Linked DNA regions of Oryzias latipes. The protein of the gene in region 3 purifies or fractionates together with the protein of the main gene of each other region. This does not show direct contact. Links are inferred from orthologs where the notes say so. Each region holds a gene or a part of one and is shown on either strand. Other genes may lie near its edges.

Region 1 (3,651 bases), on a different chromosome or scaffold from region 3:
TCCATAGTAGTAGGTTTAGGGGATGTCATCTGGACTTGGTTTTAAAGTTAGAAGACGTTTCACCTCTTATCCATGAGGCTTTGTCAATTCTGAATTAGCTGGTCCAAGAGCTGGTATATATGCGCTCATGGGGGAGGAGTCAAACTGGATGGTATTGTCAACTTAGCCTACATGGTTTCGGGTCGTTAAGAGTCCTTTGTAACAGTACCTGTTATTTGACTCAAACCACCCCTTACAGCACAAACTAGGCGTTATCGTGACACTGCAACACTGAGCCCAGGAGGTGCCCACAAGCTCTGAGGGAAAGAAGAAAGAAGAGCAACATATCCGCCGAGCCCTCCGAACCGGTGGATATCCCAACTGGGCATTCACCAGATCCCAACATATAGAAAAACAAGACAAGAAGGAACAAGAGCCGAAAAGGAACAGTATTTCAATTCCGTATATCTCAGGCCTGTCTGAAAAACTAAAAAGGATTTTCAAACAACATAACATCCCAGTTCATCTCAAACCAGTTAATACTCTCAGACAAAAACTGGTTCATCCAAAGGACAAAATTCCCAGCTAAAAACAGAGTAATGTTGTGTACTCTATCCACTGCAAAGAGAACTGCAAGGAACAGTATATAGGAGAAACCAAACAACCTCTACACAAGCAGCTTTACCAACATCGCAGAGCCAACCCAAGTGGACCTGAGTCTACAGTGCACCTCCACCTGAAGGCCACAAACCACTCATTCGAGGACAGTGAAGTCCGAATTCTAGCCAGAGACAAAGGGTGGTTTGAGCGAGGAGTGAAAGAAGCCATCTTTGTCAAGAAGGATAAATCTTCTCTTAATAAGAATGGTGCTCTCAGTTTTATTCTTCCATCCATCTACGGCGGTGTCTTGAAACCTAAACAAACCAAACCAGTTCCACCTGGGTCGTTAGTAGCTGAAAGGGTTGACCAGTTTGGGGAGGGAGTCACTGGCTCCCCAACCCCCAGCTGAGGACAAAGGACTCTTAACGACCAGAAACCTGTAGGCTAAGTTGACAATACCATCCAGTTTCAGGTCTGACTCCTCCCCCATGAGTGCATATATACCAGTTCTTCGACCAGCTAATTCAGAATTGACAAAGCCTCATGGATAAGAGGTGAAACGTCTTCAAACTTAAAACAAAGTCCAGATGACATCCCCTAAACCTACTACAATTTTCTCCTAAAACTATAACTGGGGTGTACTCATTATTGCAGCATGGACTTGAATTAATTTGTTAGGAAAATCACTTTTTTGTGTGCGCTGTACACTTTAACATATCTTGTTTGCAATCAACGGACTATTTTTGTAGTGTTTCACAGTAAATGTTGACTCTGAAAGGACACTAAAGGTTTTCTGACAAATGTAGTGGGGTGTACTCATTTATGCTGAGCACTGTAAAAAATAAAACAAAAATTTGCCCATGTGTGAATCAGGGGAGAGTCTTTATCATCTATGTGTACCATACTATTGGTGACAGTATCATAGTCTGGGCCTCCATTGATAATTATTTCCATTACACACTTTAAAACTGAAGATTGCTCCGGCAAAACCTAAATAACGAAAACTCGTTATAATACCGTAACTATTCGACTGTTTCCGGGATCAACAGGATTTATCTTATTTTGATGAGCAGAAAAGCGTTTATTTACTTTTTAACATGACTAACAGAGTGTTTTGCTTGCATAACAGCGCAATACTGTTATTTTTAATTTTATTTAATTTTTTTTTCCGCAACAAAATCAGCTGCTTTACATCGAGCACGTTAGCACTTCACTGCTGTAAAGTGTTGCATAATCAGTGCAAGGCTTAATCTCCGCTGAAACTGCACTAAATGCATAAACGGTTGAATAGTTACAGTAGTTGATTGAATGGCAGCACTGGAGCTAAAGCTCTGGTGTTAAAGGGATGAAAAACAATCTGTTATATCATCCGGTCATCTGAACATCCTTTCGATTTCCTTCATATTCAGGCTGGCAGCCAAAGCACAAAATCAGTATGATTTGGATTCACGATTCACTTTCAATTTATTTATTTGTTCATTTCTTTTTTTTTTTTTTCTTTTTTTTTTTGCTGAACTTCCTCTCAAAACTGACCGTTTGGTTATAAAAAGCCTTTTTTAAATATTTTTTTTGCTATTGATTAAAAAAAAAGTTGAAACGCAGAAATAAAAGCTTACATTAAAAACTTTTATCCGGTTTAGATGTTAAAAGAAGGAATTGACACCAGCAGTTGCTTTCAACACAAAGCACACACCGTTGTGTATTTTCCTGCAAATCACTTTTGCAGCATATTGACTCCCATCATTGTATTTTGATGGAAAAGTGCAAACACCTTGCCGAAACAGAGCCTGCTGTGGTAAAACAAGCTTATCATAGTATTTTATAGTATAACAGCATAGAATGATGGATAGTATCTGCAGTCAAAGAAGAAACAGAGTAGCACTTTTCTAGAAGTATGATTACAGGGTTGAAGCTGTACCCTTGTCTTTCTAAATCAACAAACATTTGAGTGACATCATAGAATGTGCAAACCCCCCCACTTATCAGTGAGCTGGCGTGGTGCAGGTACACCAGTTTATCAGACGATAACCTCCATGAATAAACTCACACCTTCACCTCCTTTTCTTTCTTCCTGTTTCCTCATTTCTTTTGTGTCGGGCAGAAAAAAATAATATAGGCTGATTTTGTTGTGTACGTGTTCCGTCTTAATATCCGCGTGCCTCATTCAATAAGTCCTTACAAACATGTCGGTTTGCTTATTCTCTACAGATGAACCTTTTGAAGGAGGAAAAAAAAGAAAGTAATATCTGCTGTCTCGTATTTTTAGCTCTCTGCAGAGATGCAGCTGCCATGTGGGGAGAACTACAACCTCCACCTCCACCTGCTGCACCCCATCCTCCCCCAGCAGAGCAGCTTCAAGGTCCTCACGACTAAGGTATCACCCTCAGCTTGGATCAAATGTGCTAATGGGAGCCATCACACTGGATAAGGAGATTATTGCTGTAACGTTTGCAGCTTTACATATTCCACATCCAATTGAACATTTTTGTCATCTGTGAAAGACTTTTTGGAGAGGAAAATCTAGTCACATTTGAAAGCTTTCAGACTCACCAGATGTGTTTGTTGATTTATTTAATAACTTTTTTTAAATTTGTAAATGTAGAATCTAAAGGTGTGGTGATATGAAGGGATAGAGCTTATGAGGCAGAAGGGGAAAAGGCTCATGGAGCAGGAAAGTCAGGCTGCAGTCTGTCTTTGAAGTCTACAGAAGCACACGCCTTGTATGTAGGGAAGCATTCCAGTCCAGACTAACGGCGTTGCTATTTGCCATGACAAATGCATCCATTTTTTCATCTGTGACTAAAATAGATCTGTTGGTGAATTTGAGGCTGCTTTGTGCTCAAAACGCCCAAAAAAAAAGGAGCTTAGGTCTCGGTTAAGTTTGTGAACGTCGGGGTAAAGTGATTCAGTTTCACTGAGGATGCTGGGAATGTCTTCTAAGCGCACTCAACAATAAAGGAGCAGGCTGTCAAACATCGCATTTTATCACGCTATAAAGAAGATCTGATCGTAAGGATTTACGAAGAGAAAAAAGGGACCAAGTTCTACTCAAACCAGTTTATTGCCAACATA
Region 2 (3,651 bases), about 12 Mb from region 3:
AACTTCAAGTAGTCAGCAACAGCGTGGCCAGACTCCCCTGCCCGTCGGCCACCAGGACCGCCCGTCTCCACACCTAAGATGGAGTGGAGCTTCCGCGAAGCTGGAGGCTTATACTACAAAGAAACCAAAGACATGTAAAGCTTTTTAATGTGCATATCAAGACATCAAACAAGACAGTTCCGTCATCAGCACCCATCAGTTGGCGTTAAAGCTGTCAACTCACCCTTTTGCCATCTTTGGTCTTCTTAACACTCCATGTACCATCTGAAAGCTTCTCAAAGAACTTCCTGGCTTTTGGGGCTAGGTCCATTATGTGATTGGGTGGGATGCCAAGAACCTCGACTATTTTGTTCATCTGGTCCACCTGAAGAAACCAAATGCATCTTTTAATAAGTATTTGCACTCATTATAAATGAGGGTAAATGTCAAAATGCTTCTAAGCTCTTGTAGGAACACACCACGGCTTACAAATCCAGTTTTAAGGGTACTTTTTTATTGAAGAACTACAAACAAGGTGACTTTTCGATATTCCTGTTATCAATAAGCTCCACATATGTCTTTGATATTTTTATCATGTTTTATACCTCATTGGCTCCACTAAATAGAGGCTCTCCGGTATGCATCTCTACCAAGATGCAACCCAAGGACCACATGTCGATGGCCAGGTCATAGGGCATTCCCAGCAACACTTCTGGAGAACGGTAGAAGCGACTCTGGATATACTGGTATATCTACAAACACAAAGCGTGGGAAGTGAGGGTGACTGTAAAGCGCATTGCTTTTGTTGAAAATTGCAAACCATTTCTCACAAACACACATAGACTGTATAGCAGATGAAATATATGATGGTAGATACCCTTTGTCCCAGTTGGCATGAACTGCCAAAGTCCACTATTTTGATGGCACTCCTCTTGGGGTTACAAAGGAGGATGTTCTCGGGCTTCAGGTCACAGTGGATGATGCTGAGCTCGGGGGTGGCCAGGAAGAGTAGTGCCGTGCATAGCTGCTGGGCAAACTTCCGGGTGAGATTGAGTGAGACGCCGCGGAAGTTGGTATTTCGAAGCAGGTCGTATAAATTATATGACAGCATTTCAAACACGAGGCAGAGATGGTTACGGAACATGAAGTGACGTTTCAGGTGGACTGCAAAGAAACAAAAATTGGACGCGTTAGTCGCTGACACTGCAAGCCGTTGGATTTGTTCTGTATGTGGGACATCAAAAGTAAATTACCAATATAGTATTTCATCTCCGTATCATGTTTGTTCATAAGCTCCAGAAGGCGCACTTCAATCTGGGCTTGATTAAGGAAAGCTTTCTTGTTCTTAATGATCTTAATGGCAACCCATTCTTGCTCTACTCGGTCATAAGCTTTCACAACCTGAGAATTGAACAAAACCAGTATTAAATATGTTAAAAGTATTATATCTGAAGCACATTTGTTACACTAAACATCAAGATTTAAAACCAAAAAAAGGAAGGTCAGAAAGCTGGAACCCCTTAGAAGTGGACAAATAACAGACTGTCAGTTTTAATTCCTCACCTGTCCGAATGATCCTTTTCCTATTAAGGAATCGATCTCATAGCGGTCCATCCACTTCTCCCCATTCTTGACGATGTAGTCATAGTTATCATCGTCATAGCCATCATTGAAAACCTTCCTCTCCTTTTTGTGACTGGAGTCTTCACCCTGACCCTGTTGGTGCCGCCGCTTCTTTTTTGCATAATAAACCTGAAAAAGAAAAAAAGAAAATTGAATGCATTTCAGAAAAGCACATGCAGAGATTTCTTCAGGAAATGTTAAATGTTCCTTTGGATTTTGCTCCAACAAATTAGGTTTTTCATGTATAAAATTCCTGTTTTTTTAAATGAATAATAATGTTTTTTTCTTATAAATTAAAAATATCTATCTTTATGAACAACAAATTCATAAAATAATAAAGACTACCAATTTAAAAAAAAAGAATGTTGAAATAGCAAACATCTTAAAACAAGGGGAAAACAAATGTCAAAGAATGATTTGAACTTTTACTAAAGCAAAGCCTCACCTCATTGATGTGTTTGTATGTTTTGATAAGGTCGATGGAGAGCTTCCTCAGGGGAGCTGAAGTTGGGTCACGAAAGCACTGGGGCATGTGCCTCTGAAATAAAAGTACAACAACATTTTACAAACAAACAAAAGAAACACAACTTTAGAAGTAAAAAGTTCCTCTTACAGGGTTTGTGTTTAAACTTCAAAGCTGTTAACACAATGTGACACAATTACACAGAAAGACATTTGACATGCAGCTACTCTGCCTAGTGATACTTGTTTAAAAAAAGGGAGCAAACTTTTGTGTGCAATTAAGTTTAGCTATTCCTGTAAATCCTAAAAGGGCAGTGGGAAGGGTGATTGTACCTGATTGGCAGTGAGCTGTGGTGTCTGGTCGCTGTACGGTAAAACCGTAACAGATTGGTCAGTGGTTGGCTGGTGGCGGTCACTGTACTGCTGGTGCGTATGGGGCATTGGAGCAGCCATCTGAAGACCAGCAGTGTGTAAAGAAAAAGAGGGCGCAAGCCGGACGGACGAAGGTTTGCATGCTGAAGTCTCTCCTCCTAAAAAGGAAATTAAAGTTCCCTTTAAAGTCATTGAACAGAGAAACATACAAAAGTGAAAAAGGAAAATAAAAGAGGTCATCAGAGATTTAACGCTACAAAGAAAGCCAGCAAGATGTATTATGTTATTTACAGGTAAAACAATATAATAAAGAAACATTATTTGTTGTTTAGATTTACAAAAAAAACTTCAGCTTAGTTTAAGATGAAAAGAAATTATCTATAGGAATTTATAAATGCAAATTAACAGCATTATTTACATTTGTGTTAATAATCAATCTCAAATGATGATAAACACCAACAAAAACAGCAAAATCTAGTAAATTAAAGAATTAAATGTCAGGTTTATACACAGTGCTATGTTAAACATGTACACGTTAAACAATGCAATCAAAGGACAACCCCAAAAAAATCAAAACACAGCAGAAATATGTCAACCTTTGTGAGGAAAAGGGGAAAAAACAGCCAGTTTAACAGTGAAAAGGGGTGAGAATACAGCATCTCCACACTGTACGGTGAATCATCCTTCATTTTAAGCCAGAAGGAATCAAAAAATTATTAAATAGCATGTTCAGCTATCAGCATCTCTCACCAGACAACACAATTCACCAGTGCTACACAGTAACCACTATTCAGAATCCCAGCAACAGCACCTAATTAGCATAGCCTATCACCACAGAGATACAGCGTGATTTGGCAAGCCCATCAACGCACAGACCAATCACAACGCAGTATGCAAATAGCCTACTTTTGTTGCCAGGGCAGAGCTGCTCCCATTTTCCAATGAGAAAACAAGAAATAAACAAGAAATAAAATTGAACTTTGGCACACTTAGACGTTGCTTTCAACACAAGAGCCTGACAGCAAAATAGCTGCACAGCCTAAAACCTGCACTTCATATGAGAGCATAAGAAAGCTGACCCAGCTTTAGAAAAGTAAAGAAATACCCGTCCACTGACAGAAATAAAAGGAGCTGTAAGATGAGCAGAGAGCAACACTATATTTGAGGTGCTATAAGGCGCTACGTATTTGACTTATTTTCTTATAAAATTTAAAC
Region 3 (4,229 bases):
CTGCTCGTTTTCTGTCATGAAGTCCCACCGATCTATCTTCAAAGTCTTGGTCTCTTCATGATGATGAGTTCTGATCCAGATTCCAGCTCAGACTAGGAACACAAAGACGGTCATGGATCTGTTGGTCTGCAGGTGGATAATCAGAAAGGGGCGGAGCATGGAGACTTTGGTCCCGCCCATTTCACTGACTGCATTTTTAATCTGCTCCTGATTTGAATCAAGAAATCAGAAATGCAGTTTTGATCCTAAATGTTCTCCATCGTGGCAAAAATGCTGCGAGAACACCAAAACCATTTTCAGTAGAGTGGCTCTTTAGCTTTTATTTTCCCAGAGTTCTGATGTTGTGGGTTGGCCGGTGCAGGTCTGTGGAGACGTTCTTCCATCCAGGTGGATTCAGTCTATAGACATGAACCGGTTCTAAAGACCAGACGGTTCTGAGTCATGGGGGTCAGTTGGTAGGCGGTTGTGGACAGATGCAGGTTTCTATGAAGGTCATTATTTAAAGCTAAGTGACTTCTATTCCTGACCGCAGGGCGGCCTGTGGTCCTGTTTATTCAAGACAGACGACCTTTAATGTGATTCGTTTGGATTGAAGAGAAGCTGATGGTTCTGCTGACAGAGGTGGAAGAAGGAGGAGCAACACCATGGAGGGGCGGAGCTACAGACTGAAAGAAACGGCATCTCCCTGAAACCACACAAACACAACACACACACGCATATCCACACAAACACAACACACACGCATATCCACACAAACACAACAAAAAAATGTTATTTTAGGACGGCAGAAAAAGTTTTTACAACTTAACTTTAATGAGAGTTTCATAGCGATCACATTGTTAACCAGACGACTGAATTTCTCTAAATGATACCTTACTGTACTGTACTGTACTGTACTGTACTGTACTGTACTGTACTGTACTGTACTGTGAGTTCTGTACTGTACTGTGAGTTTAGTTTATATTTAACCTTTTAGCACCATGGTGACATCACTGTAACAGTAAAATATCTGAAATACATCCTGTGGTTCTTGGTTTGTAGCCGAACACACATAATTGAATTTCTAAGAGTTTTTTAGAGTAACCCTCTGGTGTGTTGATGTTGTATGCTCATGTGCCTGTTGCACTGTAGTGCTATGGAGTGATATTTATGCCACCATGTTACTACACACAAAACTAAAAGTATTAAATATTTGCTTTCAAAAAAATGTTTTGCTTTCAAGCATCACTCCATATACGTTTAGTGTTTTGTTTTACGTATTGTTCACAATAAAGTTTAGTTTAGAAGAATTGTTGTTAGCCAGAAAAATAATCCAAAAAATTGTTGTGATCCCGCGGTGCGCGGTGCGCATGCGCTGCTCCAAGTTCAAGGTGGGAGCCAGCCCAGCTAGCTGTCAGCATCGCGGTGCGCATGCGCCGCTCCGAGTTCAGGGTGGGAGCCAGCCCAGCTAGCTGTTAGCAACGAAAGCTAGCAGGCGGAGCGTGTAATGGCGGCCTCGGTGTTGCTGGGGTCTGCGGACGGATCCAGGCTTAATTTCATCCCCGGAGGCGGCGGCGGCTGCGAGAATGCGGCAGTCGGGAACTCTAACGGACTGGGCCCACCCGGGCCGGCGCCCTGGAACCGCTCTGTGGACCGCGCGCTGGACGAAGCGTCGGTGACCGGCTGCCTGAACCTCAGCGGCAGGAAGCTGAAGGAGTTTCCTCGGAGCTCCAACAACCACGACCTGACGGACACCACCAGGGCCGGTAAGTGCGCGTCAGGGCTCCAGGCGGACCGGAACCGCTGCCGCTTATCGGTTCCCTTAGGAAACCCGGGACCGTCCGGAGTTCGTGAAAAGTTTGAATCCAAGTGTTTGCCTCCGGGGCAGATGGATGGACCGTCAGGGCGGTGCTGGGAGAGTTTCTGCCCCCGAGCTGAGACGGGCTGGCCCCGATTTCGGTTGTTTGAACCCAGAACCGGGACCCTCGTGTTTGTGACGGTGCTGTTTGAGTCCAGTTCGGCCGGACCTTCAGCTGGATGGATGCGCGTGAATACGTGTGGGGGGGATGGGGGCGCGCGCGTGCCCGCCCGATGGGGTCTACCACCTGTCAGGGTTCAGCGGGGAAACAACCAGACAGGTGGACTTGGTGCCGGTTCGGCCGAACCGGAACCGCGGCGGCTGCGCTGCCGGGAAAGAGGAACAAACCGGTTTGGTTTCCATCACGGTCAGTGACGGTTGACCTACCGAAGCTCCGCCCCCCGCGGCTCTGCGCGCCGCTCCGAGTGACAAAACAAACGCACGTCAAACGATTTTCTTCGGTTTTCTAACGGAAAGATGTTCCGGTTCTTGTGTTAGCCCGGTGGAACCCAAAAGCCTCCATGCAGTCAGCTGGGCTTCCTCCTCCTCATCCTCATCACGACCGATTCGGTTCAGCCGGATCAGGAGCGTCCTGCAGGTGTTCATGACTCCGTCATCATGTGACCTGTGGTTACCTTGACGACGGCGTCCGTCCCTGGATGAAGGTTCCTCGCTGCAAACACAGGCGGCCGCAGAAGGAGGACCCTGGTGTCGCGGATGCAGCTGATCGGATCCGTCGGCCTGTCCGGCGCCCCCTGAAGGAACGTGAGCAGAAACGGGTTCTGTCCGTCTCTATAAAGATCTGGAGATTCTGGCCTCACGATGGAGGGTTCTGGTGGGCTGGAGGCCAGAAAGGACCTGCTGACACTAAGCAGACTAATTCTAGTGCATGAAGGAGTCTGGTCCACCACTCCACGGCTGCGTCTCTAAAAGTAAACTGCATCCACTGCTGCTCTAAACCGTCCGTTAGAGGGAGGAATGGCTGCTGTCCTTCTCAGCTGAAGGTCTCTGCAGGGACAGCAGACCCAGGCGGTTCCAGACGTCCCGGCCGCGTGCGTCTCCTTTCACTCAGGCATCAAACCCGCGCTGTGCGTCTGTCCTCAGATCTGTCCCGGAACCGTCTGTCCGAGCTCCCTCTGGAGGTCTGCGTCTTCGTGTCTCTGGAGAGTCTGAACCTCTACCAGAACTGTCTGCGCTCTCTTCCGGACAGCCTGCTGAACCTGCAGGCCCTGACCTACCTGAACCTCAGGTAACACCACACACACACAAACACACACACACAAACACACACACTTCCTCGCCAACACAACGCGGCAGCAGAAATGGGCGGAGTCTGGGAACGTTTTAAAGTCCCATGCCGATCATCTTCTGACATCTGAGCGTTCTTTCCAGGATGGTTCTGCTAGCTTACAGCCCCTAACATTAGCGGGGCAATAACAACAGTATCAGAGCGTCCAGTTCTGATCCAGATTCCAGCACAAGCCCGGCTGGTTCTCCTTCACCACGGCTGGTTTAAAGCAGGTTCTGGAACATCAACCAGAACTAAACTCCAGAACCCAATCCATCAGACTCTGTATGATCCACGTTACTCCTAAAGGAACCGGCATATCTAGATTAATATTGATGTTCCTCACTGGGACTGAAGCTCGCCGGCTGACTGGGTTCTGTTGGGTTCTGGGTTCTGACTCGGCCTGTGGATTGAACCCGAGTCACAAATCTACGATTGACAGCAGAATTGTCATTATTTAACCCAAAGATGTCTGAATGTGTCTTCTTACTGGATGAAAGTATTTGTGTCTTTATGTGGAGCTGAAGATCAACCAAAGATTCAGAGAGAAAGAAAGATTTTCATCACTTCAGGTTTTCTGCCAACTTCCTGGTTAACTTCAGCAGGAAACGAAACCTAAACATTGTTGTTGTTTTGGATCATTTCACAACAAACGAACAAACAGCTCTGTAGAAATAGAACAACTAGAAAAGGCTCGCAGTCCAAACGTTTAAACCGACGTCTGTGTTTCCAACAGACACGTTTTCATATTTAGAGGAAAATAATGACAAGATTATTGTAATATTCCTACATTAACCTGATTTTTTATTTTATTCTCTATTCTGTTTTTATTCTAATCTATTAATTTTAGTTTTTTTCAGTAAACTAAACTTGAGTCACTTTAATCGACAAAAAACACTGGAGACTTTTACTTTGAAGTTTTGTTACTTCCTGTCCCAGTCGCATTTACCCGTTTACACGTATTTTCGCTGCGTTTGGTTTATAAAGATCTCAGACGTCACCAATACTCGGACTGGTATTTTGGGGAACAGGTGGTGAGTATCCGAGTATTCGGATACTCTGTGCAGCCCTAGTTCTGACCCGTCTGTGTGCTGCAGCCGGAAC

Evidence for each region.
Region 1: the proteins of lrch3 (region 3) and sugt1 purify together in Homo sapiens (co-immunoprecipitation; 3 studies listed by BioGRID and IntAct, counting the BioPlex papers as one, with this or other methods). This does not show direct contact. The link is inferred for Oryzias latipes from reciprocal best matches to the Homo sapiens genes LRCH3 and SUGT1.
Region 2: the proteins of lrch3 (region 3) and dyrk1a purify together in Homo sapiens (affinity purification with mass spectrometry; 3 studies listed by BioGRID and IntAct, counting the BioPlex papers as one, with this or other methods). This does not show direct contact. The link is inferred for Oryzias latipes from reciprocal best matches to the Homo sapiens genes LRCH3 and DYRK1A.

The regions. Positions count from the first base shown.
Region 1 is NC_019875.2:17,058,307-17,061,957, forward strand, and holds part of sugt1 (protein SGT1 homolog), read left to right. Parts: intron 1-2,845; coding exon 2,846-2,953; intron 2,954-3,651. UniProt on the Homo sapiens protein: May play a role in ubiquitination and subsequent proteasomal degradation of target proteins.
Region 2 is NC_019871.2:12,328,040-12,331,690, reverse strand, and holds part of dyrk1a (dual specificity tyrosine-phosphorylation-regulated kinase 1A), read right to left. Parts: intron 2,595-3,651; coding exon 2,398-2,594; intron 2,141-2,397; coding exon 2,048-2,140; intron 1,732-2,047; coding exon 1,543-1,731; intron 1,381-1,542; coding exon 1,233-1,380; intron 1,144-1,232; coding exon 857-1,143; intron 732-856; coding exon 585-731; intron 365-584; coding exon 224-364; intron 114-223; coding exon 1-113. UniProt on the Homo sapiens protein: Dual-specificity kinase which possesses both serine/threonine and tyrosine kinase activities. Exhibits a substrate preference for proline at position P+1 and arginine at position P-3.
Region 3 is NC_019871.2:14,554-18,782, reverse strand, and holds the start of lrch3 (leucine-rich repeat and calponin homology domain-containing protein 3), read left to right. Parts: upstream 1-1,383; 5' UTR 1,384-1,486; coding exon 1,487-1,745; intron 1,746-2,941; coding exon 2,942-3,086; intron 3,087-4,222; coding exon 4,223-4,229. UniProt on the Homo sapiens protein: As part of the DISP complex, may regulate the association of septins with actin and thereby regulate the actin cytoskeleton.